Caenorhabditis elegans: one gene and its partners. The protein of the gene in region 1 purifies or fractionates together with the protein of each later gene. This does not show direct contact. Each region holds a gene or a part of one and is shown in the gene's direction. Other genes may lie near its edges. The genes, in order: dhrs-4, cest-10, mcat-1 and elpc-4.

Region 1 (7,537 bases):
CACAAATTTGGATGTACATAGGAATGTTTAAAAGAGATCAAGCTTAACAAAAATTAAATTTAAAATTATTTCCACGAATTGCATTTATATTTAGTTTGTGTGTTAAGTTTGTATTTGTAATTTGTAGTTTGTATGTATAATATCTCGGCAATTCGGCGCCACTCTTAAACCAACTTTACCCACTTCTCAACCAACTTTGGCCACTTTTCAACTGCCATTTACAGATGTTGGCAAAGTTGGTTTAAGAGTGGCGCCGAATTGCCGAGATCACGGATTTGAATGGTCAACAAACATTTTCTCATGAAACACATGCTGATTAAGGTTTGGTACGGTTGCAGAGAAACATAGTCAAAATCATAATTTTCATGAAAAAAGTTGTGTTGTCCATTCTAATCTGTGATATTATTAGTGCATCAAAACTAAAAATGAATATATTTCGTCGAAAAATTGGAAAAAAATATTTTTCCGTTGCAGAGAAACATAATAAAAAAGCGATGAAAATAATTTTTAAAAAACCACGTGGAAATATTTCAGAAACTTTCTTTATTTCATTTTCCTGACTTACTAAAACATTGTCAGAATAATATTATGTTCAATCTGGCACACATCAATTATCATACAGGAAAGTTGTCACAGTAACTGTTGATTTGAATACATGTACCAAAAACTACGACTCCTTTCCGTGACTGCGTTTTTCGTTCTTTGTTACTCAGATAACTATTTTCTCATCAAAATGTGTTAATTTCATTTAACTTCTCCCCAAACCTTCACTATTTCTTATTTGTCTCATTTGCACCAGTCTATTTCCTGAGATCAAACTTCAAATTGTGTCAGGAAACAGGAAAAATGGGCGGGCACAGTAATAATTGTGCACAAATTAAGGACAGGAAAATCGTGATAAAAGCATGGCCGACAACGTGTTTGATAACAGAGAACTTATTCAGGTAGACTCTGGTTGAAATGAGATCCTGGAGCACGGTTATGTTGGCTGTGCTTGCCACAGCAGCCACTGTTTTCGGACATGATGCGGATCCGGAGATGAAGATGACCACGGTAAGTAGAAGGAAGGATTCAAATCTCTTATGAACCAATATTTTCTTTAAAAAATAAAATTTGCTTTTCTGAATAATTTTTTTGCACGAAATTATCCATTAGTTTTCAGCCACAAATAATCATGCGATGGGGATATCCTGCAATGATATACGATGTAACAACTGAAGATGGATACATTTTGGAATTACACAGAATTCCATATGGAAAAAGTGAGTGCCCCAGGTCATTGTGTTTTTTTTTCAAACTTCAAGTACCACAAAAAACAATTCTACACAGTTCTCTTACAGTTCTTTAAAAAACGTCTCATTTTGTATATAAGGAAAACAAAACGAAAAAAAAATTATATATGTTGTTAAGTTCACTTTTTCAGCAAATGTCACATGGCCAAATGGAAAGAAACCAGTAGTTTTCATGCAACACGGTCTTGAATGCTCATCATCCAACTGGGTTGTCAATTTGCCAACGGAGTCCGCTGCATTCCTTTTTGCTGACGCTGGTTATGATGTATGGCTTGGAAACTTCCGTGGAAACACATACAGTATGAAACACAAGAATTTGAAACCATCTCACTCGGCATTCTGGGATTGGTCATGGGATGAAATGCAACAATATGATTTGCCAGCAATGATTGAGAAAGCTTTAGAAGTTACTGGACAAGATAGTCTATATTATATTGGACATTCACAAGGCACACTTACAATGTTCAGTAGACTTTCTGAGGATAAAGTTGGATGGGGAAATAAAATTAAAAAGTTCTTTGCACTTGCTCCAGTTGGATCTGTTAAACATATCAAAGGAGCTTTGAAATTCTTTGCTGATTACTTTTCCCTTGAATTTGATGGATGGTTTGATGTATTTGGTTCTGGTGAATTCCTTCCAAACAATTGGATTATGAAGCTTGTCTCTGAATCGGTTTGCGCTGGACTTAAAGTTGAAGCTGGAGTTTGTGACGATGTGATGTTCCTCATTGCTGGGCCGGAATCCAACCAGCTTAACGCAGTAAGTTTTTTTGCAGGAAAGGTGATGAGAAATTAATTGTATTACAGACTCGTGTTCCAATTTATGTGGCACATACACCCGCAGGAACTTCTACTCAAAATATTGTTCACTGGATTCAAATGGTCCGCCACGGAGGCACTCCAAAATATGACTATGGAGAGAAGGGAAATAAGAAACATTACGGACAAGCAAATGTTCCAGCATACGACTTCACTACTGTAAACCGACCAGTCTATTTGTACTGGGGCGATTCTGATTGGCTTGCCGACCCGACCGACGTCACAGATTTCTTGCTAACGCACTTGAATCCATCAACTGTTGTGGTGAGACTCTGTAAACTCTGAATGATTTTTTTTTCAAATTGATGTATTTTCAGCAAAACAATAAGTTGATCGATTACAACCATCTCGATTTCATCTGGGGACTCCGTGCACCGAAAGACATCTATGAACCAATTATTGATATTGTGAGAAACGATGTTTTGAACGGTTCCTAAAATAGAAGATCAACCGCAAAAAAGCTTTATCCTGCCAGCATATCATAATTGTGACGTTGTTTTTTTCGGAAATTGTAAATAATAAATTATATGAAGTGATACTTTTATTTCAGATGTTTAATTATAATTATTATTTGGATAAGTAATATTCAATCCGGTTAAAAGAACATAATAATGTTCTCAAAATGTTATTTTATCAAACGCTTTGTTTGAAGTTACTGTATTCCATTAACACATAAAGTGTGTCTCTGACATTTGATGTGATCTCTGGGGGAATTCAGTTTCCTTATAAATTTTTGCTATCAAGAAATTATAGATGACGAAATTGATAAGGAGTCACACGGTTAACACATTGAAATTTCAATCAAGAACATCACGAACTTTCCATACGAAACAGATGAAAGAAAATTTTTGACTTGAATTTGGATTGAATGTGTGGGTTTATTGCGCGCGAGCTTGACGAAATGGTCCAGGACGGCATATTACAAAGTTTGTCGTTCCTGCAACAAACTGTTTAAAAAATGTTATCTCATAACTCTTTTTAGTTCATCTTCTGTATTTCCGATTACTTAATAATAATTTTTAACTTTCTTATTAGAGTGAAAAATAAGCTGTGTTGTATTTTTGTGCTGCGATTTTTCTTAGCTTCTATATGGTAGTTATAGTAGACTGCTAGTCGAGGACAAAAAAATTACGTGGTAAAGACTAAAAGTCAAACAAAATTTTTATCAAGTAATTTTTCAATATCTAAACATAAAAAAGTGCATTAATTAATTTTTGTCCAATTCTATCTGTTAAACAGTTTTCAAGTATTTTATATTGTTTTTGCTATCTGTTCACTCTCCTGAACACTACACTGTAGCCTATTTTGAAGGGAATAGTGTAGTGATCTTATCATTGTAACCACCACTTTTTGTATTTTTGTTTCAAAATGGTCGCATTTTCGTCTATTTCACTTACATTATTTAAGAAAACGTATTTCATTTAGAACATTTTTTCCATACAATTTTCAGAAAATAAGTAATAATGCCTAGCAACTGCCGCCGTTTTGAAGGAAAGGTTGCAATTGTGACTGCAGCGACTAAAGGGTGAGACAATGATTTTTGGAAAATTACTAAGTTGTTCGAAGAAATCCTTGGTAAAGTTTTTCCAGTAATTTTTTTAAACCAATTATTATTTCAAATATATCTTCGCAATTGTTTTTGTTTCATTTGAAAATCAATACATGTTTCTAAAGTGTTTATAAAAATTGTCCCTATTTTTTATAAAAGCTTTGAAATAATAAATTGAATAACTTATAGGATTGGACTTGCAATTGCTGAAAGACTACTGGATGAAGGAGCATCCGTTGTTATTGGAAGCAGAAATCAGAAGAATGTTGATGAAGCAATTGAGTATTTAAAGAACAAAGGATTGACGAAAGTTGCCGGAATTGCTGGCCATATTGCAAGCACTGATGATCAGAAGAAACTTGTTGATTTTGTGAGATATATTTATTAAAAAGAAAAATTACAATTTCAATACATTTATCTATTTTTTAGACTCTTCAAAAGTTCGGAAAAATTAATATTCTTGTGAATAACCATGGAATTAACCCAGCATTTGGTCACATTCTCGAAGTTTCGGATCAAGTTTGGGATAAGCTGTTTGAGGTAAATGTGAAGGCTGGATTCCAAATGACAAAACTTGTACATCCACATATTGCCAAAGAAGGTGGTGGAGCAATTATCTTCAACGCCTCGTATTCCGCCTATAAAAGTCCACCAGGAATTGCTGCATACGGTGTGACCAAGACTACTCTTGTTGGGTTAACAAGGGCATTGGCGATGGGATTGGCCAAGGATAATATTCGAGTTAATGGTATTGCTCCTGGAGTTATCAAAACTAAAATGAGCCAAGTGGTAAGTTTTTGTTTCAAATATTTAGTTTTTAGTAATCTAATGATATACAAATGGTGTGAATTTCAATTTAGTTTCTCCAAAATTGCTCAAAGGTTTTCTTGAGCTGTTAGCTTAAAGTTCAAAATTCATGGATATATTCTCCGCAAATCGCTCCTCCTGGAGCGCGGACGGGGCGCGACTAGATTACGGGTTCGCGCTCCAGTCACACGTTTTTTCGCGCTCCTTTCGCGCCTCGTTGGCGCTCTGATCGCGTCCCATAAAATTTCGTAAGAATTTTTCAAATTCGGAATGCGCGCGGAGCAAACGCAATTGGAGCGCGGACGTGGCGCGTAAGGAGCGCGAAAAAAAGGGTGACTGGAGCGCGAACCCGTGATCTAGTCGCGCCCCGTCCGCGCTCCATGACGAGAGATTTGCCGAGTTCTTACCAAAATATTTTCCAGCTTTGGGATGGTGGTGAAGACGCAGAGAAGGAGCTCACCGATATTCAAGAAATTGCTCTTGGAAGACTCGGAGTACCAGATGATTGTGCTGGAACTGTAGCATACTTGGCATCTGATGATTCATCATATATTACAGGAGAAATGATTATTATTGCTGGAGGTGTTCAAGCTCGTCTTTAGCTATTTAATTATCTTTTCAATAAATACATTTGCAATTTGCTTTTTAAGTTGTTTTAATTGTTTGCTCATTTTTTTTCCCCAAATTCATAACACCTTTTCACCCTTAACACCCAAATTCATAACACCTAATGATAGTTTCTATTTGCTTCCGGTCTGAATCAACCGAAAATAATAATTCGGGAGGAAATCGGAAGAAAAAGAAGGCAGATTTGACACTATTTGCTCTGACCGGCGGCGCTCCAAATCCGCCTCGCTCTGACATTTGCACTGTCTCCTGGTGGACACTGAGTCTGCTGCCATTCGTCGTCCCATTTGATGTGCCCAGATGCAACGAATTTTTCTTTGTTGGCTTGCCATCGCCACCGTTTCCCAAACTGTTTCAGCAAAGAAGTTTATGAAAATATTCGCAGATGCGGGAATTGGAATTCATTGCCCGTCAGGTATGTTTTGAATTTTTCATTCGAGAATTTCAAGTTGAACCAATTCTTTGCTCCCAAATTATTGTTTAGTATTTTGAATTCAAAAATATTTGAGAACGTTTTTTTTTAATATTCCAAGAAACTGTTAATTCTGGAAATTATAAAAATAGTTTGTCTGATCCTAGTAGGCTCGCTTATTTTATGCTCGGGTTTTCGGAGCTCGTTTTTCAATATTCATTTTTCCGTTTCTAGTTCTTTCTTATAATTCAAATAGTCCTAGAATTAATGAAAAATAATTATTCAAATACAAGCATTGGATGCCCCAATTCTTTCGATTTTCCAGGCTTTCTAGTTTCAGAAAATGGTATTAATATCTGATTTCAAAAATCCATTTTATATTTTAATTTCTGAATTTTGTTTTGAAAATCTTCATTATTTCAAGGCAACAAAGTGTATATTCACCCAATCAGTGGTGATTTACAACTGTGTACCCAACAACTAGGAGTCTACAATGAGACAAGCTGTCCTGGAGGAACAGCTTGTGAACGGTTTCCTATATTGATTCCTGGATTCCAGGTAACGTTTTATACTCTTTCCATTGCTAAGAAATCAATTAATTTATAGGACTATTGTTGCTGGTCTGAAAGCAATCCAGAATCTGAACTATCATCGGAACTTGAAATTGTGAAACCTCCAATGTCAAAACGAAAACCGGGAGTTACAGTTGCACCAATTGATGAGGAGGACAATGAAAAAATATTTCCAATTGATGAAGAAGAGGAAGAAGATTTGAAAATTGAAGAGAAAAAATCAGTGAGAAAGCTATCAAGTGATGAAGACGAAGAAGAAGAAATTGAATGGGAATTTGAAACAACGACTGTGAAACCAAGAAAAACTAAAAGTAGAAAAGTACCAATTATTACTACCACAGAGCCACCCATGTTGATTACAACCACTATTAAGTTAGTTTAACATACAAATATTTTTATCATCTCAAAATTTTCAGATCTGCACCATCTCGACGCCCTCAATGTAATGATCCAGATAAAACAGTTCTAATTGATTATGGAAATCGCTTGAGAGACTGCTATTTTACGGTGAGCCAAAAAAATTTACACGGTAGAAAACTTCCACATACCGTAACTTTAAACTGATCTGCTTTGGTTTTATGTAGGTCCAATTATTATTTTTAAAGTTGACTAGAAATATTTTTTAAAAATACTGAACATTTTGAAAGTGAGTAGAGCGAGGGGGTCTAAACAAAAACCAAAATTTAAAAAAGTTTCCTTCAGCAATGTCTCCGTGGTTTCAAATGCGAGTTCAATCGAGAAATTCGTCGTTTCATTTGTTGTGGAAATGAAATTGATGTGCCACCAGCAGGATTGCCACGTATTCCAGAACCATCTCCTGTTATTAAATCCCGCCCGTTTCGTCCTAATCGTCCGTTTGGGAGACTAAATGATGGTGAAGAGGATGAAGGAAATACTGACGGAGAAAACCGTGGTCCCAGAAATCCAATAGTTCCGTTTAATCAAGCCGGCCCATTTCAAGGTCCAATAGTTTCACCCAAAGTTGAGTCAATGATTGAAAATAGTCTTGGATCGACATCGATGCCAAATCCTAACAGAAAAAGTAAATACGACGAAGATGATGATTATGAAGATGGTGATGGAAATGGATGCAATGGAAATGGATGTTCATATGGAAGAAGAGGTGGAGGAAATCAAAACTCTGGAGGTGGATGTGAAATGAATTGTAGAAGAAATGGTGGAGGGAATAACGATGGATGTGGATGCAATAGAAGAGGAGGAAATAATAATGGAAACAGAGGTGGAAACAGTCAAGAATGTGGAAATGGTGGTTGTCCATGGAATGGGAATAACAACAACAACAATAACAATGGAAACCGTCCTAGAAGACCTCGGCCAGATACAGATTACGAAGAAAATGAAAATGGATGTGAAGCAGATCTTGGTGGATCAAATGGTGGAGGAAATGGACCAGTACCTCCAATCCCAGAGCCGAAACCTTTGTGCAAGGGACTGAAGT
Region 2 (8,637 bases), on another chromosome or scaffold:
ACACTTTCACTCAAATCGGATTTGTTTCTACGTTGATATTCAACTTATTGTTTCTATATCTCACTGCTTTTCATATTAAGAAAATCACTGGAACATACAAACTTATGGTCCTTATTTTCACTTTTATTGGAATTGTTTTTTCTGCTTGGGAGCTAGTTGCTAGACCATTTGCTCACAATTACAATAAAGCGTTGATATATTTTAGTCTAAATTCATGGCTACAGGAGTATCCAGAGTTTCTCCAATTTGCTATAATACTCTTTGCAAGCTTTTATTTGGTTATTTTGGCAATTATTGCTGTTCAATTTGCTTTTCGGTACTTCACTCTCTGTAAACCACATCTTTCCAAAAAGTTTGGTGGATACGGAGTTATAGTTTGGTTGCTCTATTCACTCATTTCTGGGTTTATATATGGAGGTGCATTAGGCTATTTCGGATATCCTGATATCTATTCAGATGATTACATGAGGTAAGAACTCAAAGAGCCCAATAGAAGATGTATTCAATTGTTTCAGTGACGTAGTTGAAGAATGGTACAACCGCACAATAACCAGCTTCCCGCGTTTTCTTATAATTCCTTACGTGAGTTTCAAAACTTTTTTAGAAAATTCTATGAAACTTTTGATCTCTAAAGATGAGGGATATTTAATGTAGCTTAATTGAAGATTATATTCAAATAAATTGTTGTATTTTAGGCAGCAGATGGTTCTGTGAGATGGCAGAATATTGATTTTTTGATCGTTGGAGTTTTTATTTTGGAATTACAATATGCCATAATTATTTATTGTGGTGTTCGAATGCATACAATTCTTCAAAAAGAACTTCAACAACAATCAATTGTCAACCAAAAACTTCAAAAACAATTCTTCAGAGCTCTTGTAGTACAAACCGTTGTTCCAACATTCTTGTTCGTGCTTCCAATAGCTCCATTTTTAATTGGTCCGTTACTTGAACCAATTATTGAAATCGGAATGAACTTTCCAACTGGATGGATGTATGTTATATTGACTATCTATTCACCTATTGATACAATCGCATTTATGATGATTGTTCAAGAATACAAAAAAGCTTTGAGAGGTTTGACTGAGAATTTGGAACAGTTGAAATTATACTTTTTCAGAAGTTTTTCATCCAATTCTTCCTAAGAGAGTCAAGGTAATGAGCGAACTTACTATGCCAACAGGCCCAACGTCCACTTCCCGAGCAATTTAATTTGATATGAAAAAGCCTGCAAATCATTTTTGTTTGTGCATTTAATTTATTCATTCAGATTAAGAACTTTATAATTCCAATAAAAATGTTTATGTGATCTGTGTTGATAAAATTTCACAAATCAGAACACAATAGGAACAAAAATTTTCAACTGCGAAAGCACTATTATGAGCAAAATATGAATCATACTCATGAATTGAGTCACAACCAAAAAAGTAGTGAAAATAATATAGTTGATGTTATAGTTGATGATGTATGTTATAGTTGATGATGATGTTATATTTTTTTGGCTATCACAGTTTTTAAAAGTTCTCACTATTTTTCTTTTAAAAAAATCATAAAAATTCAACAACATATCCAGTTCGGTTTATTCGGCCGGCATTCAATTTTCTGAAACTTTTAAGTTTGAACGTACGAGAAGCTTATCGTGTTAAGCATCTCCCATTTTGAATACAAACCGACAAGAAGGAAAAGATTAATCCTAACTTTCTCCAAAGTATTTTACTTTACCATTCATAGTTCTATTTGCTTACTCATCTCTTCATTTTATTCTCTACTTTTCAAAGAAACAAGTTCAGGTGTCAAATAGTTTCTCTGAATCACTATTCGCTTTTCGTTTAAGCCCCCTTCTTTCCACATGACGTAATTTCAATTCAAGACTGCCTGGGACTCTCATCATTCCACAATCTCTCACTTCACAGTGTAAAGCTTCGGTCTTCTTTTCCTCTAAATGCCCATTATGTCCTTGTAACCTTCAAGCGATTACTCATCAACAGGTCCCGATGGTATAAAAGGGAATTGAAAGGGTCAAATGTCATAATCAAACTATACAATAAACATGACTTCCAGCTTTTTGTATGTTCTTTTCACTGTTTCTTGTTTGGCAGCACTTGTCTCAATTTCTGAAGCATGCTTCGCTTCGGGAATCTGTGGAGGAGGATGTCCTCCACCACCACCTCCAATGTGCTCGGGAGGTAAATACAAAAACTCTTTCTTTAAAATAGAAATTGAATTCTTGATATTCAGGATGTGGAGGTGGATACTCATGTGGTTCATATGGATGTTATAGAGCCAGAGCTCGAGGATCAAAGACTCTTTCTTTTAAAAAACCAGTAAGACTTTCAATCTCACAGAAAATTCTAAAATTATCAATTTCAGAGTGAAATGAACCCAGATGAGAGATTCATGAAGTGCTGTGAAGATCGTAACCTGCCAGACTCTTGCCTCTCAAAATGCTCTTACCGTTCATACACCAAATCAGCTCTTCAATCAATGTACTTCAAGCAAGACTCGTGCCCAATGCAAGCAGCCGCTGACATTCAATTCTGTGCTGCTCAAGGAAAAGATCACACCGCGTGCTGTGCTAGAAATGCAGTTGGAACTACATTAGCTGGTAATAAGGTCAGTTAAAAACCAGACTGTGATTAGCTAGACAGAAATATCTTCGAGGGCGAAAACATGACGTTGTTTGTTTTGAGAGAATACATCATCTTATGCGACTAAAAATATATTTACGACATCTCACTCAGACTAGTTTTGAAATTTAAATATTGAGCAATTCAACAGTATCGACTGAGAACAATAAATATTTTATGAAAATTGCAGTGCTTCACCTTCTGTGACCAACGTCCAGGAAACGTCACTCAACTTGATATGAGCTACTTGGCTTGCTATGACCGTTTCGAGAACATGAAAGCCTGTTTCTACCAGAAGGCTTCTGAAGCTTCCGATCCAATAGTCTCATTCAGCAATGATCGTGACAACAACAGAGAATTTGCAGTTGACACTGAAACCGCCGAATTCCGCCGTCCATCTCAAGAGCACTTCAGAGCCCCAACTTCTCCACAACTCCCACAAAACCCACTTTTTGCTGTCCAAAACTTGCTTGCCAGAACTTTCGGACAATAATTGACACGAATTGCACCGGTTTTTGTACATTTTGAGTTTTGTATGAACTGATTTGATTAAAACTAAATAAATTTTATAAGTCTGTATGAACTACAAAAAGGAACAATTTAAAACTACATACTTCACACATCTGCCAATCAGTTGTGCATATTATCTTATCAGTCTGCGTCTCCTATCATTTATAACAATCTTTTTGGACGTCCATTTGTTATCATTACAATTATAAAGTAAACCATGCATTTACTTCCTGGTATTCAAATTTTATTTTTATTTTCATTTTCTTGTTTTGTTGATTCTGTTATAGTTGAAACTTCTCTTGGCAAACTGAATGGAGATCAAATTGGCAACTTTCACTTGTTCAAAAAAATACCGTTTGCGAAGCCTCCGCTGGGGAAATTACGGTTTCAGAAACCGCAACCTGCCGAAACATGGAATGGCGTTAGAAATGCAAAAGGTTTGTGTGCTTATGGAAAATGAAAAATTATGATTTATTAAAGACTACGGACCAGCATGCATGTCAAACTCATCGACAACAAAAACTGTTCAGAAATGGGTTGATGAAGACTGTCTTCACTTGAATATATTCACATCTGAAACTTGTTTGGTGAGTTGTAGAAATCTTACTTTTAAAAAATAATTAAAAAAAAAGGATTATCTGCTAAAAGATCTTGAACACCTCTGAAATTTTATACATTTATAACCTTTCCAGAAATCTAAAAACTGTGCAGTCGTAATATATCTACACGGAGGAAATCTGCATTATGACTCGGCTGTAATGTTCAACGACACTTTCCTTCTACACACGTATGCCAGCCAAGGTTGTTTTTTCAAATTTAATTAAATAAATTCCATAAATAAATCTAAATTTCAGAAATAGTTTTTGTGATTCCCGCTGTTCGTCTTGGTATATTTTCTCATTTTGTGGTAGAAGATCAAAGTATTGCTCCAAACAATTTAGCTCTATTTGGTAACATTTCTAGCCATTTTTATTTCAAAGAAAACATTTTCAGACATGCTTCAAGCAATGGAATTTGCCAAATCGGATATTCATAATTTTGGAGGGAATAATAAAAGGACAACTCTTTTGGGGCACTCGTATGGAGGAACGGTTGCGTCTATGTTGAGTTTTAGTACCAAAGTGAATACAGATCTCAGGTAACTTTAAATAGTTTGTTTCAAGCATAAAATCTGATTTCAGTCTATTCCAACAATACATCAGTATGTCATCACCTACTAACTTTGATACTTTGGAACTTCAAGTTGAAAGAACTTATCGATTTGCGGAACATGCAAATTGTCTTCCAAAGAATTCGAAATTTATGAGGAAAAATCAAAAAGAAGTATACATGAGAGACTGTTTAAAAAAGAAGAGTGCTTCTGAATTACTCAGGTAAAATACAATATAAACAAGTTCACACAGTCTTCACTACAGAATTCAACGAAGTCTTGAAGAAGCTGGATATCCAGTTTATGGAGGATCCGTCATGCGAGGGCCTATTTTTCAAGAAGTTCTGGAACGAGATTTTATGGATTCTCCGAACAATATCACATCTTTAACAGGATGTACAAAATATGAATCTTTAGTTTATGATCACTATCGTAATATGGGAAAAGCTTTGGGATTTGAAAACTATGAAGAAGTCAATGAAAAGTATCGAAGTGATAGCAAGGAAGGAAAAATAGGTGAGAGTTTTGAATTATATATTTACTCTTAAAAATACTAAATATTCAGAATTTGATAACGTAAAAAATGCAACTCAAATAATGCTGATTCAAATTAGGACGAGAGTAAATAAAATATTAAAAAAGAACATTCCGGTGAGCTTTTAAATAAAAAGTTACCTCAAATAAAATTAATTGGATTTCCAGGCGTATCACTACGAGTATGCTTACCCGAAACATGCCAATCATACAGATGATCTCTTTTTCATAATGGGCGTTCATCCTTTTATTCAAGACGAAAATGAGATTAAGCTAGGAAATTTTTATAGAAGCATGTTTTTAAACTTTATCAAAACCGGGAACCCGGGAAATGGATGTGATGGTGCAAATTTGAATGGATCAACATATTTTGAAGTTAATTGGAATGAAACTACCGGAGAAAGACCAGTGATGAAAAATAATTTTGAGCAAAAGGTAAAAACAAACTGTTTACATGCCAACTCTAAAAGTAAACGTATATTTCAGATACTGGATTACTGGACCAAAAATATGATAGAATTCGATCGAGAAGTATCATTATTAAGAAACATTAAATCTCGGAGACAACCAGCATCAAGAGTTTTTTCAGCATATTACAGCTTTATGTCATTTCCTCAAACTCTATTTATTTTGTTCATTATTTTCTCATCGTTCGCTACAGGATATATAGCTTCAAGAACTTGTAGTATTGCTGATCACGACAGAAGTTTATATGTCCGATTAGATGGAACGGATTATCCAATTAAAAATTAGAATGTGTGTACATTGTTTGATTGTAACTATTTGAACTGTTTTCCAAGCCATTCCCTACTTGCCATTTTCAAATGTTTGAATTCCTGAAACAACTATATTTCCGACGTTTCAATATCATCAAATGTTGCCAAAAATCTTGAATACTTCCTTGTCGAAACTTTTTTTTGTGTCAATCGTAATTTTTCAAATAAACACGTTATCACTGCTCAATTTGGCATGTACTAGACATTTGATGACACTTTTCTTGAAAAACTAATTTTTCATTTAAAAAAACATTGTCTATAGCTGATAGAAGAGAATTTTATGTTAATTTTATGTAATAGAGTGTTCGAAATATCGTACGTTCTTAAAATTTGCAGACATTTTTCAGTTTCATCTGTATTTTTTTGATGGGGAAAAATTAAAAAAAAAACATGTCCAACGCTTTTCGATTTTTTCGAGGAAAAGAATAGATATTTAAACAATTGACAAACGATTTAATGCTGAGATCATCAACATTGATCCGCAGATTTGAGCGTTTCATGAGAGAGTTTCATTTGGATGTCGACTTAAACAAGATCAACAGATCAACATACTTTATGTGAAGTTAATTATTTTCAAGCATTTTTCAAAACATCAACGTAAAATTAGCCAGCTTCTTTTCCACAAGCGAATCCTTTAACTGGGGCGTCGTCGAGTACTTTTGAACACCTGAAATAGTCGCTTCGTTTAATTGTTTTTAAAGGTGAGACATACATTTCATCATCGATAGTTCGATTATTTGCTGTAATCCACAATGCAAGACAGTCCTGGTGAGGACCGGAGTCTGGGCCTAACCTATCTGGATTGTGTTGTTCCCAAGTGTATCCTTGTTTTTCCAATAGAAACTTGTCCTCGAAATCAAACCCGTCGAAACTTACACATCCCTCCTTTGTATTAAAAGTTAGCTTTTCTTGACATGTTACTTTTCTGACACCGTCTATCCATATTCGCTCGGTAATCTTTGGTTGAGAGGGATATCTTTCTACAAGACTGTAGGCAGTCTCTTAAAATTAAGATATGATACCGGGAAACAGATACAAATAGGCTTACTCCAAATATGATAAGTTTCATTTTCTGTTTCCAGTCCAGTCAAAGCGGCATTATATTCGTTACATGCCTTACTTGCTTCAACATGAGTACCATCTTGTCTGATAACTTTAATACACCAGCTGCCACGGGCCCTGTCAAAGTGCTCCCATTGAGGAGGACAACTCTTCATAGCTAAAAATTGGGCTTTTATGAAAATGTAAGCATAACTAGAAATTGGCATACCACTGTAGGAAAAATTCAAAACATTTCCATCCTCAGAAAGTTGTGTTGAATATTCATATTGCGTCAAGTTGGAAGTATTGTTGAAATGCCCATTGATAGTTCCTAGTTCAAAAGGAGTACACATGCTTTCAGTTATCGGGTCAAGTGAAACTGTCTGGAAGAACATTTTTAATTTATCAACCATATGCGCTAACTGTCCTAACTTTTAACGCGATTATCATGTTTCCACGGAACCTTTTCTGAATATGCATAAGATTTTGAATACTGCACAGTTGACATTCATTCGGCGTTGTAAGATTTGCTTGAGCAATCTAAAATCTTAAATTTTGTATTAATTGTTGTAAAATTTGTCAACACACCACACATGTATCATTTTGAGCACACGAAGTAACACAATCCTTCCACGTCTCCTTCTGTGCAAATTCTGTGTCAATACATGTCATAAGAGCTCCATGATGAATAATCATTGTGTTTAATGCATTCTGAATTATGAATGTTTACTCAGGTAATTCTTTAGCGTACTGCAAGCTAGTTAACTACTTTGCAGAGAAGAAGACTGGAAATATCTTTGACTTACATTTGTCGGTATAAAACAGAGCAGAGAAATCCACCACATCATTTTGTGCTCGTAAAAATGAAAACAAAAGAGATTTCCGTGTATGGTTGTATATTGAAAAACTCGTTCTACTTGACGTTTCTGAGGTTACCAACAAAGAAAATTCTTGGACCACTCGTGAGTTGTTCAGAATAAAAATTTATGTGAAAAATTTTGAACACAAATGGAAACGGACGAGTTCAATTGTTCAATAGTTCAAAAAATGGTTTTTACAGCGATAAATTGTGATTATGAAGCTTTCTCAAACAAATCCTCAAATTCTAGTCAATCTCGGTTGCAGTCATCTGAATTTTATTGAATTTTTTTACATCAAATCTTTCAGGAAACATTCCATCAAACTATAACATCAAAAAGTTTCCAAAAAAGCCATGCACATATTTTTTGGAGCTGTATACAAAATATTAAATTTTTATACAAAACAACTTGAAGAAGAATCGTTTTAATATATCTGAAAAAAATTACAGAAGAGAATACAATTTAATACTTGACAAAACATGGTGGATTGGAGGCAAAAAAAGCAAATAAGTATATTTTATGTTTGTCCACATTTTGAGAAAACTACAGAAAAAATAACTTAAAATTATGTGTTTATGATGCATTCAAACTAGAACGATGATCGAATCTCACAATGGCACAAGTTGTTGTATTTTGGGTCCGGAGTCCTGTCTTCTCAAGCGTCATTTTTAAAATCCACCGTTTTACTGTATTGAAATAATCTGAAACAATTTAAGTACAAGATTGGATTATAAATAGATATTACCAACCTATAGTAGCGGCTTTATAGTTCCAAATAACGAAAATATTGGGTAATGGGTCAATTGAAGGATAGAATACAATTGACATTGCAGGTATTTGTCCAAGTAATTCAAATGAGCTATTGAAAAATGTAGCTATGAAAATAAAGAAAGCAGGGGTGTGCATTAAAATTACGGGAATTATAGTCTGAAGGATCAATGCATAAAATAATTGAGATTGCAGACTTTTGAATTGAGCAGATTGAGATGATGATGGTAAAACAGATTTCATGTAATTGTAACTTTTAATGCCAATATAAAGAATTACCAATGTAGAGACAAACTGAATATATTATGTTCCGTTTTACGATTTGTTTATTTCTATAACTTACATTAGCTAAAAGCATGCACCCAATTCCT
Region 3 (9,136 bases), on another chromosome or scaffold:
ACGAAGATATATACTCACAAACTGTATTCCCCCTTTTATGAACATTTCTTCAAAATTAAAAAAAAAACCGGTTTTGCATTCTGTTTTCTCAACTTTTCGATTATTAAAAAAATACATTCATATTTTAAACTTTTCCGGTCGATTCTCTATTAAAAAAATTATTTTTTGCATCAAAATCAACCAATTTACGAAAATTTTTTTTTAGAATCGTCGTATTTTTTCCGTATTTGCGACTGAAATAAAAAATCGAAAAAATCTTTTAGACAATTTTTTCCCCCAAAGGTTCTCACAATTTTTATATAATTTTTCAGGTATTCAGCACTGCCACACAAATGTTTTCCGAAACATTTGTACCGTCAATATTTTCATATAAACATCGACTATTACATCTTTCAGTGTTATTCTTCATAGTTCCATATTGGTATAGGTCTGTTTTATTGCAAATTTTTCTCAAAAAATCAAACAAAAAACTATTTTTTTCACGAAAAATCAATGGTTTAAAAAAATCACTAAAAATTGAACTTTTTTCCAAAAAAGAAATTTTTTTAAAAAGAAAATCACAAAAAATTAACTTTTATTCAAATCAATTATTTTTCTATAAAAATCACCGAAAAGTTGAACTTTCCTCAAAAAATGATTTGATTTTTTTGAAATTGAATCTTTTCCAAGTAATCACCAAATAAAAATAGAAAATGACTAAAGCTCAAATGTTTAACTTTAAAAAACGTTTTCCCGAAAAATCAATCAACAATTTAAAATTACACATTCTAAACAAATTGATTTTTTTTCTAAAAATCACCAAATAATCGAACTTTTTTTCCAAAAAAATCAATAAGAACGTCAAAATCAATTTTTAAAATAATTTGAAATCCAATTTTTTTTTTCATAAGAATTTGACTTTTTTAAATTTACTTCTAACGTAAATATTTCGTTTAAATTTTTTTTGTTTTAGGTTTTCTAAATAAAAAAATTAAAATTTTCGTAAATATTTATCGAATATTTCAGCTACTACAATGATCAACATCGTCTCTCGTCGTATTCAGTTGAGACGGCAATGTTTTTATCATGGGAGCGAGCAATCGTCAAGCCTGGAGCAATGTTCAAAAAAGCAGTTATAGGATTCAATTGCAACGTGGATCTGATTGTTAGCGGAGTTCGTGTGGTCGATGCGTTGAACACGACGTGTTCAGAAGGAAAAGATCAGGAAACACTCGAAACATTGGCAGATTTGCATCAAACATTTGCACATTTCTTCCAAAGAGGAGCCGCTGCCGAAAGGTAGAATTTCTTCGAAAGCTTGGATTCGTGAAATAGAAAATAATTACGTTGGAAAATAAATTTTATCTTCATTTTTAAAATTAAATTTCGAAAAAGGGAAATATAAAAAATTGACGAAAAGTAAAAAAAAATGAAATTATGAATCTTAAAATCTGTGAAAAATGTAGAAAAGTGTATGGAAGAGACGAGGAAAAAATTGGATTTCTAAAAATGACAATTTTAATTTAAAAAAAGGAGAAGCTTTTACAAAAAAAAAGAACTTTCGATTTTCAATTTTTCAAACAATAAGATCATATTTGTTTCAGATACATGTCATCAGAAGATCAATTCAACCTTCTCGTTGCCGAATCTGAAGCATCCACCCGATCCCACCATCATATCGGAGGAAACGCTGCGCTTATGGCAGACAGAATTGCTGCAAACTTCCCAAGTACTGAAGTCTATTTGGTTGGACCAATTGGGCCGCGTAGTCAAGCACTTCTTCATCCCAGTGTCAAACGAACGAATTCGACAAGAATTTTGAAAGTATGTGAAAGAGTCGGCGCAAAAATGAATATAATTGTGTGGTTTTCAGGACGAGCTGCACGTAATTCTTGAGTATAAGCAAGGAGAGATTCTCGGAGATTGGGTGGCACCGAGTAGCAGTCGCTTCATTACAAGTCATGATCATTTCAGTGGTTCGATGGTGGTTATGGAAATGTTCTTTAAAGCAATCGCTCAATTCCGTCCAGATCTTGTCGTTATCACCGGTGTTCATTTACTCGAATTTCAAAGTAAAGAAATGCGACAGGAAAAGATGAGGCTTATCAAGCGAAATCTTCTTCAAATCCCGCCGAAAGTTCCGATTCATTTGGAGCTTGGAAGTTTGGCCGATGAGATTTTCTCAACTGATGTTATCAATAAGATCCTACCATACGTAGATTCTCTTGGTATTAATGAGCAAGAGCTCACATTCCTGTCACATATTGCAAATGGACCACATATGGAAGAATATCCGGTACAAGCTGGAACCGTTCATGTGCACAAAGTTGTAGAGATGCTCCATTGGCTCTTGAAGACATATGGAAGAGATCCCACTGGACAAATTGCGTCGAAAACTGGATACCGGCTCTCTCGAATTCATTTCCATTGTCTCACGTATCACATTATGGTATCTTCTGGAACAGATTGGTCTAATCTTGCTGCTGGCCTTGCTGCCGGAGCCAGAATCGCTGGTCGATTGTCATGTAATATTGGAGCAAATACGATGGATTCGGAGCTGCTGGAAATTAGAACTCCGGCGAATTTTGTGTTGGATAAGAAGATTGAGAAGAATTATCAATTTGAAGCTCATAAGTATGTGAAAAGAGGAATCAATTGAGAGAAAAACACCGAATTAAAAAAAACACCAAAAAAGCTTTTAAGTTATCAAAAATCAATATTAAACTGAGAGTAGAATTTGTGGGTATTTTGCGTAAATAGACTGAAACTTGTCCAAAACCACCTAATTTCATAATGAGACTTCACAAAAAAGTTGCCCAAAACGTTTCGGGTCAAAATTTCAAAAAAAAAACCAAATTTTGCTAAAATCTGGAATTTTTCCCACTTTTCTTTGATTGTAGGTCGGGTTACTGTAATAGTAATGTAGGGGTACTGTAGGAGTACGGTAGGATTACTGTAGTTATGGGGGAAAAAGTTGTGTTCCTTTTCCTTATCAATCTGTTTCCAGCCCAATAGCATCATGGATGCGTGAAGATGTTCTATTCGTGTTCACACCTGTTCTTGTATGCCGTTTACCATCAAAAACCGTCGGAATTGATGATGCAATTTCTGCTACCGGACTTCTTTATTCACAATTTTATCGCTTGAATAGACCCACTCATTGGTAGACTTTCACATGGTGTCGGGTTATCCCATCACGGGTTGATGTACAAGAAATGCGGGATTTCTGCGTCTCGCTCACCGCATTTTTGTAGATCACACCGTGATGGGACACTCTGACACCACGTGTACTTTATTGTAAAAATTTGTTCATTCTCCCCATTTTTTGCCATTTTTTTCATGTATTTTCTCTTTTCCCCCCAAAGATTCTGTGAATTTTGTTATGATTATGTGCCTGTAATTTTTGTAAATGTAAATAGTAATAAATACCCTTTTTTTTCTAAATTTTGAATTTTGTGGTTTTCTCCATTTTTTCTATTTTTTTGCGATTTCAGGTAGTCTCATCAAAAAATTGACGATTTTTAGAAAAAAATCAAATATTTTTTTGAAAATTTTTAGACTTTTTGATGATTCAAAATTCTTATAATTTTTGGATCGAAATTAATGTTTATGTAAGTAAATTTTTGAAGTTTGAAAAACGGTATATTTTTGAAAATCGAAAAAAAATGTTTACAAAGCCTCAAAGTGCAGTACCGAAATCTCAGATTTTGCTTTTTTAGACCCAAGTTTTTGATTCCAGTTGAAAATCAACATTTTTTCCAGAACTTTGAACCGCCATAACTTCTTTTTTGTGAAATTTTCAAAAAGTCTTATTAGTTTCGGTAGTTTTTCGGTAGTCTAAAATGTCCGTCTAATCGGTAGTCTCGGTAGTCTATCGGCAGTATGAAAATTTTTGGGTAGTTTCGGCACTCGGTGGTCTAGTTTCGGTAGTCTAAAAAAGCAAAGTGTCAGATTTCGGAACTCCACCTTATGGGGTTATTCAAGTAGTGTCGGAAAATTAAAAAGTGTAGAAAAATTACGTCACAACTGTATTCAAGTATATAAGAAAAAACAAAAATGTTTTAATTTTCAAAAAAAACAATTTTTTCAGATGCTGACTCCATTTAACATAGCTCGTTGCTCCACACGACTTATTCGAAGAAAACCTCCAGGAGGTGGGATTCTGGATGAAGGAGTCACATTTTCAGATGTTCACAACGTAATTCTTAATCCAACGACACGGCTACCGTACCCAGAGGAGCAACTTCGTGAGCATATTGAAAAGACGTCAAGTGAAATTATGAAGGAAAGGAATAAAATTCGGTAATTTTGGTTTTTTTTTGAAAATTTTGAAATGAAGGAAATTCGAAAAAATTTAAAATTTTATTATTTGATTTTTTTCTCGGAAAAATCATGCAAAAAATAGTTTTTCTTTTTTAAATTTTCGAAAAATAACCGGAAATTATTAAAAATGTGGCCAAAAATGTACATTTTTGGTTTTTGAATTTTTTTCATTAAAAATAATTTAAGATCGAAATACCGATGAGCCTGGTACGGATAAAATAGGCAATTAAATTTTTCTTTTTTGAAAATTTCTGAAGTTCGGAGTTTTTGTTTTCAAAATTTCAAAAAAAAATTTTTTTCAAAAATTCAAATTTTTATAGAAAATCAACTCTACGATCGTTTTCGCTGTATTTCCGAATAAAATCACGTTCCATCACTTATTTTCCGTCTTGAGAGTACTAAGAATCAGATCGTTGAGATCGATGCACCATAAGCTTTGTCAGCCCATATATCGGTTAATTTTGATTTTTCAAGATACGGAACGCGCAAGAAGAAAGACTCTGGAGCTATTGATTTCAGTCAATTACCCATCGAAGAGCACGTCGTTCTATTATTTCCGGGACAAGGAGCACAATTTGTTGGAATGGGTCAAAAGGTGTTAAAGTAATAATGTTCGGCGCAATTGTTCAATTTTTTATTTCTACAGGTGATGGATATTCCAGCGGCACGGCGAGTTTTCGATGAAGCATCCGAAGTTCTAGGATATGACATGCTCAAAGTTTGTCAAGATGGTCCCAAACAGAAGTAATAAATATTATTCTCTGAAAAAATTAGAAATCTTTATCAAATTGTGCTCATGGTGAAAAAATACCGGCAAAAATACGTTTTTTGCCCGATATTATCTAATTTTCGATTTTCAAACAGTACTATTAATGCTTCTGGAATCGCCAAGCATATTTTCAAAATCAGGAGTGGGTGACAATTGCCGTTCGGCAATGTGGTTGTCGACAAATTTGGCAATTTGCCGATTTGCCGAAATTTTTCAATTCCGGCAATTTGCCGATTTGCCGGAAAAATCGTTTGCCGCCCACCCCTGTTCATAATATTGTCTGAAAAAATTTAAAAAAATTGCAGACTTGAACAAACACTTTACTGCCAACCGGCCATCGTAACGTCATCAATAGCAGCGTTTGAAGCTTTAAAAGCATCAGATCCGTCAATCGAAGAAAACCTGACTGATACAGCTGGATTTTCAGTCGGAGAATATGCGTCACTTGTTGCCGGGAAAGTTTTGAGCTTTTCAGATGGTAATTTGGTTTTTGTGTTTCTTCAATTCTTCTAAAATTAGACTTTTCCAGCTATCAAGATCGTGAAAACCAGAGCCGAAGCAATGTCAGAATGCGCGAAACTGGTGAAGAGTGGAATGGTTACGATTCGAGTAAAAGCTGCATCGAAATTGGATAAGGCAATGGCAGATGCCAGAAAAGTGGCGGCGTAGGTTTTTTCTCACAAAAATTTTCAAAAAAAACCTGCGGTTTTTGCAGGAAGAGTACAAAAAACCCGACGGAAATCATAAAAATTGAAAATTTTCAGAAAACTATTTTCCAACATTTGAAACTACTTTTATCGAAAATAAATTAACTTTGATGCGAAAAAATAAATTTACTTGAAAATAAACTAAATCGGCAAATTTCCTGAATTGAAAATTTCCCGCAAATCGGCACTCCGGCAAATTGCCGGAATTGCACATTTCCGGCAAATCGGCAATCGCCGAAAATTTCCAGCAAACCGGCAAATTGCCGGAATTTAAAATTTACGGCAAACCGGCAATTTACCGATTTGCCGGATATTTCAACAAAAAAACCTGCCGAACGGCCACCCAAACCCTGATTGTTCAAATTTCCAGTGAAAACCGAGAGCTTGTTGTATGTGAAGTTGCCAACTATCTGTATTGCGGTGTCCGAGTAATTGGCGGATCAGAAACGTGCCTAAAATATTTGGAAGAAAATCAAGAGAAATACAATATTCAAGTGATGAAGAGACTTGCAGTTTCGGCAGCTTTTCATACACGACAAATGGAGTCTGCCGTCGAACAGGTGTGTGCTTCTTTGCTATTTTCAAAAATTAATAACTTTTCATAGTGGTACGGTAGAAGTACTGTAGTTCAAGAAAAAATAGTTCTCATCCCCAGAAGTCGGGGCTGCGCCGGAGGTACGGTTCATGGCTGGTTAACAGAAAAATATTAAACAGAACCTGTATTTTCCGATAAAGTTGTTTTTATAAGCTTTCCTCATGTTTGTGTTTTCAGGTGGCAAAAGCTTTCCAAAACGTGGAGATTCATCGTCCGGTGTGCAATGTCTGGTCAAATTATAGTGGAAAAGTGATGTCATCGAAGAAGGGAGACGTTCGTGGAGCTGTCGCCAAACAAATCAATTCACCGGTTCGATGGGAACAGATTCAACAATCGCTGTTCAGAAAACATCAGGTAAATTTCAAATTTTTCGTGGTACTGTAACTTCAACGCCCCAAAACACATTTTCTTGCGCGCTGACTCAAATATGGTGAAGAATTTGGATTTTTCACATTAAAAAATTTCAGAACGAAGCATTCCCCCGCTTCTACGAAGTCGGTGCAGGACGTCAGCTCGGTGCGATGCTTTTTCAAACATCGAAAAAGGCTCACAAGAATTATTCACATTTCAGTTGCTGAATTGATTTTTTTCATTGTTTGTGTTATATTTATGTTAGCCTTATATATTATGTTAGCCTTATATTTATTATAGTTTCAATTGTTGAAAATATAAATTTCAGGATAATGAGTGCCCGTTTTATTCTAAAATCATTCAACAAACAACTTTTTATTTTTGCCCAATTCTTTTTTCAGCCATCTGTCCTTTTTTTTGGGGGGCAAAAAAATTCTAAAAATGTTTGAAATTATATTAAATTGAAAAAGGGCCATTTTTAAGGGTTCGGAGATCAATTTTGAGTCCTCTAGCTAAAAAATGAACCATTTTAGAGAAGTTTCAAAAATGTTATTTTTTGCCACTTTTAATAGTTTTTGATGGGTTAAACTTAGATTTTTTGGATTAAACATGTATGAATTACCCGTTCCCTACAAAAATAAACAACTTTTTATTTTTGCCCATTTTGATTTTTCAGCCATCACATAATGACTGTCCTTTTTTTTTGGGCAAAAAAATAATTTTTCTAAAAATGTTTGAAACCATATATTACCATGAAAAAAGGCAATTTTTTAGGGTTTGGAGATCAATTTTGAGTCCTCTAGCTAAAAAATGAACCATTTTAGAGAAGTTTCAAAAATGCTATTTTTTGCCACTTTTTTGCCATTTTTGCCACTTTTTAATAGTTTTTGAACGAAGTATTTCCCCGTTTCTACAAAGTCAGTGCAGGACGTTAGCTCGTTGCCATGCTTTTTCAAACATAGAAAAAGGCTCACAAGAATTATTTTCATTTCAGTTGCTGAAGTGATCTTTTCATTGTTTGTATTTATTATAGTTTTAATTGTTGAAAATATAAGTTTCATGATAATTAGTTTACCCGTTTTATTTATAAATCATGAGGCGAGATTTCAAAAAAGGATGAGATACGAGAAAAGTATTATTGGAATATGCGGAGTCGAAGACGTGGAACTGAAGACACTGTACTCCGAAGAAGCCTGCGGGAGGACATAATGGCGACGCTCGGGGAGCACCGTGCGTTTTTGAAGTGAGAGCAGCGACTTGCAAGCCGCGGGCAATTGATCGGAGATACCCAGTTGAGAATAGAGCTGCTCGAAACTCGAAAATCCGACAGTGATGAATCGAAGCATCATCTTTGCCGCTTGATCTCCACAGCCTGCTCGTGTTACGGGCTCCACACATTCAATCATGGAGCCAAGTTTTCTGAAAGAGAAATTTAAGTTTGTATTGAAGGATTGGCTAGTTTCTTACTTGCAGAGCATCTCGAAATGAGATCTCAGGTTGTGATGCTCCTTCCGTAGTACTGTGACCGAAAATCGATTGCTTGCGGCTAGAGAATCATTGATCTGAGGTCGGCACTGTTGGAGGGCAATCTTTTCGTGTCTAGAAAATAGAAATGCTGAAAGACCTGGATGATATTAGGCAGTTCGTTTTTCGTTCAATTGGTATACTTACTTACTTTGCTCAAAAAAAGCGGGAAGCTAATTGTACGACAACTTTAGAATTTTTCACGTGAAAGTAAGCATAGCCAGGGTGCAGGTATTCCCGTGCTAATAAAACTAGACACTACAGGAAACCAAAAAATGTCTACATTACTTTTTTTATATTAAAGTATTGTCAGTTTACTTAACTCGATTCAGAATAGTCGGTACATGTGTACCATTATTACGTCACATTTTTCAAATTAATTTTTTAAATGGAAATCTGTATTCAAATATTCATGCTTGGGAAAAATAGGGCCGTTATGGGGACGCCCCTCCCCCCGCCCCAAGCAAATTTCGGTCATGCTGCACTTGACCCCTTAGCCTAAACAAGACTCTGTTAAATCGATTCTGATCGACGTCGAAGTCAGTCCAATCGACATCAAAGTATGTCAAAGCTGGGGACACCTGCATCGATTGGACGTACTTCGACGTCGATCAAAATTGATTTACCAATGAGATCTATACATTTTCAACTTGAAATGTAATATGTGAATGATATATGCACTTGGTAACTTACTCGGCAAGGCATGGAAGAGATCGGAAGAATTCTGAAATATTATTGTCATTTGTGTGTATGTGCCTTTGAACCACACCCCCCCCCCTTTTTGCCTTATGAAGCCCTACGGGGAGCCCATTTACCAAATTGACGAGTCTCCTTTTCTCGTATGTGCCCTTCCATTCAATCTCCACAAACACCGCTACGAGATTTATT
Region 4 (7,258 bases), on another chromosome or scaffold:
TTTAATTGCAGGTGCACCAATCTCCACCTTCACTCACGAATCACCTTCTTTGACCTACATTTTCAACTTGTAAAGACACCTGTGAAACATCATGGTACGGTACATTGGAGATACTGTTGACTTTCAAACAATTACAGAATCGATTAAAAAACTATTTACTGTTAGATACAGGTTACTTGGTATTACACACCCACTTCGCCTTCATACACTCTTCACTTTTTCCAAAGATCTAAAGATTGAGCACACAAGAGAAACTACAGAATGGTCAGTAATTATCGGCAGATTAAAAAGATATTTCCCTGCGTTCACACCCTTTCTTTGTCTATCCTAGTACCCATGAGAACCGTCAGATAACGCCGAGTTTTTTTTTGGAAATCGATTTCATATTCCAAGTTTGGTCAACAAGAATGTGTTGGGCATCATGTTTGCGAGCGGATTTGGATTGGCACGTAAATATAAACAAACGCTTCCTGCTCGAGGTGCGACCATGGGCTCCGCGGTATATAAATCACCGAGAAATGCTACATTTCATAGCCGTCTTCCTTATTTGTTTTTTGCCAGCTATCGATAACATGCTCAACACGGTTTTTATTATGCTACTTCTCCCCGCAGCAGGATTATGTGCTAGATACAGTAAGATTGAAATTCAAAGTTAGGCTGTGTTTACAGTGAAAATTCTAGATTCACACCTCGTCAAAGGATGGTCCAATTCGGATTGTGTTCGCCCTTGGCAACAACCGTTAATGAGTAAACCAACATTAAGAATACCATCGAGAGCTATCGAATGCCATCCAGAAGAACACGTAGGTCTATTTTATGAAGAGTTCAATAATCAGAACCAATTACAGGATTGTCCAACAGGAAGAAATGCGGTATGCCAATACTCATTAAGAAGTCAGAAATATGTCTGCTGTGAGGACAAGAAAGATGCCGACATCCCGAGTGAGTTGACGCGACGATCTCTTTGACACATTGCCGTCTTCCTCCCGCCACGTGTCAAAGAGACCGCACGTATCTCTCATACTTCCGGTACGATCTAATATTCTTCTTTCAGCATGTCCAAAGTTCTATGAGACTCTTCTCTTGCCATGTGGGAATTCAGTTGATTCGCAATGCCCACGTGGATACCGATGTCTGGGAAGTCTCGGAGATGATTCGGTTAAACTTTGCTGCAAACCTAACAGAACATTAGAATACAGAGAACCAGAACACAGTAGGTGGCTGAGATAAAAGAATAAGGACATAATATTATTACAGCATTCCGAGAGAATCGAATTGTCCCTCGTCTGTTGCCAGTTGCTCCGGCATATGAACTAATTGTATGTTAAATGATGAATATAATACTAAACAACTTGATTGTAGGCAACCTTTAGCGACGAACAAATATCGATGGGTCAACTTTTCGACGCTGATATACTGGACAAACTTGCAGATCCTCCAGTCATGTCAGCAGGAGTTGAACTTCAAGACGAGAAGCTCTATACAATTATACTTGCAGGTTTTTTTGCTACAGTTAATTACAGGTATAATAAGCATTGTTATTGACAGATGCTACCTCAAAGGCTGTCACTTGGCTGGTTGCAAATATTGCGGCATTTGATGGACAGCTTGAGATTCATAGAAGAACAAAGTCTGCTGTGTCTTATCAACCCCCAGATTCTACTGATAGACCAGTTGGTAAGCTCGAATATATTTTTTCGTAATCTTAAACACAAAATTTAAGGAATGCACACCATGATTCTTGCGCTCTATGAGCAGAATGACACGTGGACACAGAAAGATTTGGCTAGAATTGCAATGGATGATTTCAACTTTACAGAATGGCTTGAAGAATATGCCCATGTACTTCCTGCACAGGCACTTGCAGCAACATTTTATGGATATTCTACTAAAAAGGACGATAGAAAACGAATCTAATTTATAATAACTTAAGATTCCTATTTATGTACAAATTTTAATATATAAAAAGAATGAAACATACGATAAAAAGTTACTAAAAAATAATTAAAATGAGAAAAAAAAACAATGTTAAAATTAGCGGCGAAAAGCTAGATTATTTACGATAAACAACATGCGCGCCCGTCATTTCGGAGTCTCGTAGTTTCAACAATCTTTTTTTTTGAGGCCCCACGAAAAGGGGAGCAGAACGAAAAGGGGATCTGAAAAAAGGGGATCTGCGAAAAGGGGAGATACGAAAAGGGGAGATACGAAAAGGGGAGCAACGAAAAGGGGATCTGACACTGTGCCAAACGCTATTTTTCTCGAAGAAAACGATACAACGATGCTCCGATGTTACGCGTCGCGTGTTGTTAAGCGTATCTTCTAGAAGAAAATTTCAAAAATCAACGTGCGTTGCGTGAGAAAAATTGCGTTTTGTGCGTTTGGCACAGTGCCAGCTCCCCTTTTCGTTGCTCCCCTTTTCGTATCTCCCCTTTTCGTATCTCCCCTTTTCGCAGATCCCCTTTTTGCAGATCCCCTTTTCGTTCTGCTCCCCTTTTCGTGGGGCCTCTTTTTTGAGGAAATTAATTTTATAAAATTATTTTGAATTTCCTTTTTAAGATGCTTCGCATTATCCAACGTATTCCTACTGAACGATATCTCTGTACTCTTCCTGTGAAAAATCCAAAGCTTCACAGAACTAAAGATCAGAGAGATATTACGTAAGATTATGCTTTTTTAAACCTTCAAGTTTTTAATCAACAATTTTCAGAAACATGGACTTACTTGAAGAACAAATTCGTATTAAAAGCGCAGAAAAAAATCGCGAAATGACAATACAAGGACAGAAAGTGAAATGGGCTTATCGATCAGAGGTAAATTATATATACTGAAGAATATTCTAAAAACTGATTTAAATTGATTTCCAGCTTGTCGGCCGACATGACCTCGATAAAAATCATCGTAATACATGGATGGCTTACCTAATCATTATTCTTGTCGGATTCGGTGCGTTTGTAACAGTGAAATCTCAGGTGGTAATGGGTCGACGCCAGGAAATGGATGCTCGCGAAGCTCTCAGAAAGGAGCTGCAATTGAGTGGAGACGATCGAAAAAAGATTGGAGTAGTCTGATAATAATTCATATTGTTTTATTGCGGGTTTCTTTATATATTTTTTAGTTAGAACCCTATTTTTGTTTTTAGAAATAATAATTAGTTTGTTTAAATCTCATTTTTCTTTTCTGTTTCTCAAATTACATTATGGTTTGGTAATAACCTTGCAAATATTTTTATCGTAATTTCCTGGTCAACATCAATATTTCATATTTTTAAAGTAATTTCAGAATGTTGAACGTTGGTGATAGTGTTCAAATTGCCGGATGTTCAACAAAGAAACGCTTACTGGAAACTTCAAGTGGTTGCGATTCATTTGACACACTCATTGGAGGAGCTTTAGTTAATTCAAGTATTGTTCTCATAGGTAATTTATTAATTTAGTTGCTACCTGTTCATTAAATACCCGCTAACCTAAAATTAAAATCACATTCATTTTCAGACGAGTATCGTTCTCGTTGCTATGGATCTTATCTCATTCGTTCATTCCTCGCAGAAGGACTTCATCATGGTCATCGATGCTTCATTGCGGATCCCACGGAAGATCCCAAAGAGATCAATCTCATACCATCTAGAAGAACATCCACGGATATGCAAAATCAAGAAATTCCAAATTCTCTGCCGGCAGAAAATGAAAACTCGATGAAAATTGCGTGGCGGTATGGAAATGTAAAACAAGTTTCCTCTTCCCTTGGACCATTAAGCAACGAAAATCAGTATGACTTTACGAAGCATGTAGAGAATCCGAATGTTGACGTGTATGCGGAGAAAGTTTTTACGCTAAAAGGGATTTACGAGACGCTCTGCCAAATTGTAAAAGAAAATGAAGCTCACACAAAATCCGGCGGAAGAGGTGAGATTTTTATTGAATTATTATACATAAACTAATGAATTTTACTTCAGGTGGACCGAAAAAGAATCTTCTTCGAGTGGTTCTGAAGAATATCGATATGGAAATTTGTGAAGATTACAAGTTCCTTGGCCGATTCCTGTGCTGTCTCCGATCTTTAGCTCGTTCGAGTTACATGATTGTATACATCACGGCTAACTCCTTCAGAGTTCCGAAACCAACTTGGCGTATACTGGAATCCGCAGCTGATACACATATTCAACTGATGCCGTTTGATGAAAATGAGAAGAAAATGTTCAAACATCTTGGCACTGCTCATGGATACTTCCATTTGAAGAGTTTGCCCCGATTGATGTCCGTTGGAACACACACTCCACCGATTCTCGATCTTATTTTTGAAGCAAGTTCCAGAAAAGGTTTCCAAATTCGAGTGATGCATCTTCCACCTGCATTTGATGAGCCAGCTCCAGGTCATCAAAATACTCCATCTTGCCAGAATATTGATTTTTGATTTTCTCGATCATGTTTATTTGTTGTTGGGATGTTTGAATGTTGAATTTTAAAGTATTTAATTTAAAGCATAAAAACGTCTTCTAAATATTTAACAAAGCTTATAAATTATGTTTAAGAAAAGACACGCTGTGGTAGAGAAAGGATAGAAACAAATATACATGAAATGATTATCTGAGATCTACTTTTAAATTAGCAGAGAGAATTGGATCAGGACACGTTTCTTCTGGTTTCAATATTTTGTCACTAGCGGAGGAGAGACGGAACGATCCATCCTGACAATATGTAATCAAAAGATTGAGACATGGAGAAGAGAGATCCATCTCGGTGGGAATAACATCCAGTCGAAGGCCAACTCGGTTGTGCTGTCGGAACACGATGACGTCACTGGAATACCATTTTTAGTCAATTAAAAACAAGAAAAAACTAACCTTTGGTCAGCATGAACTCCAGGAGCAGCAGTATCCGATGCTCGCGATGATGGAAGAAGAAGCTGGATTGGATCACTGGAACATTGAATGAAACCATTTCCAGATTGAGGTGCGATAGTCAAATCCATTGCAGATGATGATAAGTTGGTAATAGAGAGAAATACGTGTGATGTCTCCCCAACTTTAAGATCATCAACCGGTCGAGACATTCTGATGTCAGGAACAAATTGACGGGCAAATGACTGAAATTTAAACTTTTTACATTATTGTTGAATGAGCTACTCACCGAAATTTTAAATTTAAAGGTAGTAACTCCGAAGTCTCGTTTGATAAGAGTTCTTTCGCACTCATCACATCGAACTTGAACTCTTCCAGCCAGAGGAACTTGTACAGGAAGGAGTGGCTCAGAGATATTGATCAATGGTTGCATTATGATTTGATCGAGAGTTCTCAGATCATCCGTTCTTTCTTTAATCTCATCTTCAAGAGTCGGCGCTTCTGTTGGAGCATGTGCATCAACTGGATTCATTTCAGGAGCCAGTGCTTTTTTCCGCTTATCTACCATTTGTTGAAATCCAAACTTGTCTTTCAAGTGAAAAGCAGTCCAGGCTTTGCCCGATTTTCCCTTTTTCAAATCTTTTGGAGCATTTTCAATCAATTCAAGTCTCTTCATGTATGCCGTCACCTCACCAAGTTGATTAACCAATGGATTTTCTTTTCTGTATAAATAAAATGTCATAAGATCATATTTACAGTTAGTCATACGTTGGCCAGGATTTAGTATTCTCTTGATCTTCTTGATTCGCTTCTCTTGAAGACCAACGACAGTACTGACAAACCAAATATACATTATCATTTTCTGTACGAGCACTCAGAACGTTAGCTGAAAATATTCAAATATATTTACAAAATAGTGGATAAATCATACCACACTTAGGACAATCATTGCAACTTGCGCATTTATGCTTTTTAAGTCTTGCTTCAGGGACGCTTGATGGTTCAAGGCATCGAGGACAGAAAATATTGTCAACTTCTCCCAAGCTACAGTCATCACACCTGGAAAAGTTGGTTAATTTTTTTTTTCAATTATTTTTAGACAATTACCCATTAAAAAAACTTACTTAATTTTGAAGCAATATCGGCAGAAAACAAGGTCCGGAAGGGTTCGAAATTTTCCACAGGTGCACTCGTATTTGATTCGACTGTACTGCAGCAACTCGCTCATATTGAGAACCGCAACCGCTCCTAAATGTTAAATTTTTAATTCGAAAATTTGAAAAAGTAGCAGTTTAATGTTATTTTAATCACAAAAATTAATGTTAAACTTAAATAATTATTTTTGTAAAAAAAACTATTTCACAACACGATCTCGTCCCTCGGCCGCGCTGAGATTTCTCGGCCACAGTATCGCACTCTCTCCTTTTAACATGGTCTCTCGCACGAGAAATTAGTACCCGCACAACTGGAATACGGAAAACTCAATTAATGTTGAAAATGCATATAAATAAATACGAAGGTTATTGAGGATGGAACACCTTTGACTTGACATCAATTACAAATATTTTAGAAAACAAATTAACTAATATTTTATAATCCGGATAGGGATTTCATTTGGGAGAAGATTGCATTTTACATACTAATTAAAATTGGGCTGGCAGGTCGTCGACGCAAGTGTATGTTATTACAGGAACACGATATTCTAAGAATGCATATTGCGCAACATATTTATAAAAATATATATTTGACGCGAAATAAACAAAATATCTCGTAACGAAAACTACAGTAACTCTTTTCATAAGTAACTACTGTACTGGTGTCGATTTACGGAAATAATTTTTAATCGATAAAATATAAATGGAAAACAGAAAAATGACAAAACAGTACGAATAAAACAAAAAAATAAAATCTCTGCCACAAGTGTTTTCGAACGGTAATTCGTTTCGAAAATCGGGACCGTAAATCGACACCAGCGCTACAGTAGTCATTTAAAAAAGTTTCGTAGTTTTCGCTATGAGATATTTAGTTCGTCAAATATGTTGGCAGTGAAATTCTCACTCGTTTTTCTTGGATAGTTGGGTAGAGTAAAGGGCTGGCAGTGAAACCGTACCAAACCACGCTATCGTGGTAGGCGTGATACAAGTAGTTGTACTACTTTGGCGAAAAGACCTTCCTAATCTGCAAAATCTTGAAGGTATACTGAAAATAAGATCGAGATTTGAGAAGCTGAAATTGTCGAACCTTTGATACTCATGTCAAAACTCCGATACAACATTGTAAATTTTTTGTGTGCTTAGCCTTCACGTGAAAAGTGAGTTTTCCACTGAACACCGTGAATTTCAGAAACATTTTCAGAGCGGAATTTACAGATTTCCAGAGGTCTTCGGCAAAATTTTATTTGATTCTGGTAGCTGATTA

What was found.
Region 2: the proteins of dhrs-4 (region 1) and cest-10 fractionate together in Caenorhabditis elegans (co-fractionation; one large-scale study listed by BioGRID). This does not show direct contact.
Region 3: the proteins of dhrs-4 (region 1) and mcat-1 fractionate together in Caenorhabditis elegans (co-fractionation; one large-scale study listed by BioGRID). This does not show direct contact.
Region 4: the proteins of dhrs-4 (region 1) and elpc-4 fractionate together in Caenorhabditis elegans (co-fractionation; one large-scale study listed by BioGRID). This does not show direct contact.

What each region holds. Positions count from the first base shown.
Region 1 is NC_003283.11:12,919,047-12,926,583, forward strand, and holds dhrs-4 (Dehydrogenase/reductase SDR family member 4), read left to right. Parts: upstream 1-3,561; 5' UTR 3,562-3,574; coding exon 3,575-3,636; intron 3,637-3,849; coding exon 3,850-4,030; intron 4,031-4,089; coding exon 4,090-4,449; intron 4,450-4,889; coding exon 4,890-5,069; 3' UTR 5,070-5,110; downstream 5,111-7,537. Other genes in the region: Lipase lipl-1, read left to right, coding at 961-1,053, 1,163-1,262, 1,424-2,052, 2,100-2,375, 2,429-2,548; pqn-67 (Clip domain-containing protein), read left to right, coding at 5,395-5,509, 5,931-6,064, 6,113-6,450, 6,495-6,585, 6,781-7,537. UniProt on the Caenorhabditis elegans protein: Catalyzes the reduction of isatin, 4-oxonon-2-enal, 9,10-phenanthrenequinone, menadione, 2,3-hexaenadione, 3,4-hexanedione and 2,3-heptanedione.
Region 2 is NC_003282.8:7,177,212-7,185,848, forward strand, and holds cest-10 (Carboxylesterase type B domain-containing protein), read left to right. Parts: upstream 1-3,323; 5' UTR 3,324-3,354; coding exon 3,355-3,574; intron 3,575-3,617; coding exon 3,618-3,724; intron 3,725-3,829; coding exon 3,830-3,938; intron 3,939-3,991; coding exon 3,992-4,087; intron 4,088-4,130; coding exon 4,131-4,275; intron 4,276-4,318; coding exon 4,319-4,510; intron 4,511-4,552; coding exon 4,553-4,803; intron 4,804-4,852; coding exon 4,853-4,938; intron 4,939-4,989; coding exon 4,990-5,256; intron 5,257-5,307; coding exon 5,308-5,574; 3' UTR 5,575-5,782; downstream 5,783-8,637. Other genes in the region: str-44 (Seven TM Receptor), read left to right, coding at 1-469, 516-582, 696-1,077, 1,121-1,212; dbd-13 (DB domain-containing protein), read left to right, coding at 2,051-2,186, 2,239-2,324, 2,371-2,613, 2,818-3,120; clec-179 (C-type lectin domain-containing protein), read right to left, coding at 6,201-6,264, 6,310-6,598, 6,646-6,816, 6,868-7,021, 7,071-7,178, 7,227-7,349, 7,445-7,486; str-249 (Seven TM Receptor), read right to left, coding at 8,072-8,199, 8,248-8,560, 8,610-8,637.
Region 3 is NC_003280.10:86,453-95,588, reverse strand, and holds mcat-1 ([acyl-carrier-protein] S-malonyltransferase), read left to right. Parts: upstream 1-4,069; coding exon 4,070-4,281; intron 4,282-4,776; coding exon 4,777-4,897; intron 4,898-4,948; coding exon 4,949-5,046; intron 5,047-5,376; coding exon 5,377-5,549; intron 5,550-5,600; coding exon 5,601-5,736; intron 5,737-6,148; coding exon 6,149-6,338; intron 6,339-6,550; coding exon 6,551-6,727; intron 6,728-6,840; coding exon 6,841-6,951; 3' UTR 6,952-7,060; downstream 7,061-9,136. Other genes in the region: C50D2.7 (putative ADP-dependent glucokinase), read left to right, coding at 333-427, 1,006-1,278, 1,584-1,803, 1,853-2,613, 2,987-3,146; C50D2.6 (CPG4 domain-containing protein), read right to left, coding at 7,831-8,143, 8,192-8,323, 8,942-8,972.
Region 4 is NC_003282.8:8,013,721-8,020,978, forward strand, and holds elpc-4 (Elongator complex protein 4), read left to right. Parts: upstream 1-3,273; 5' UTR 3,274-3,283; coding exon 3,284-3,419; intron 3,420-3,494; coding exon 3,495-3,905; intron 3,906-3,955; coding exon 3,956-4,413; 3' UTR 4,414-4,501; downstream 4,502-7,258. Other genes in the region: C26B2.8 (C3H1-type domain-containing protein), read left to right, coding at 573-633, 682-803, 849-942, 1,055-1,213, 1,258-1,319, 1,363-1,498, 1,549-1,677, 1,724-1,917; C26B2.7 (Cytochrome c oxidase assembly protein COX20, mitochondrial), read left to right, coding at 2,560-2,660, 2,711-2,813, 2,868-3,071; dnc-4 (Dynactin subunit 4), read right to left, coding at 4,583-4,799, 4,844-5,085, 5,130-5,562, 5,609-5,726, 5,772-5,899, 5,965-6,068.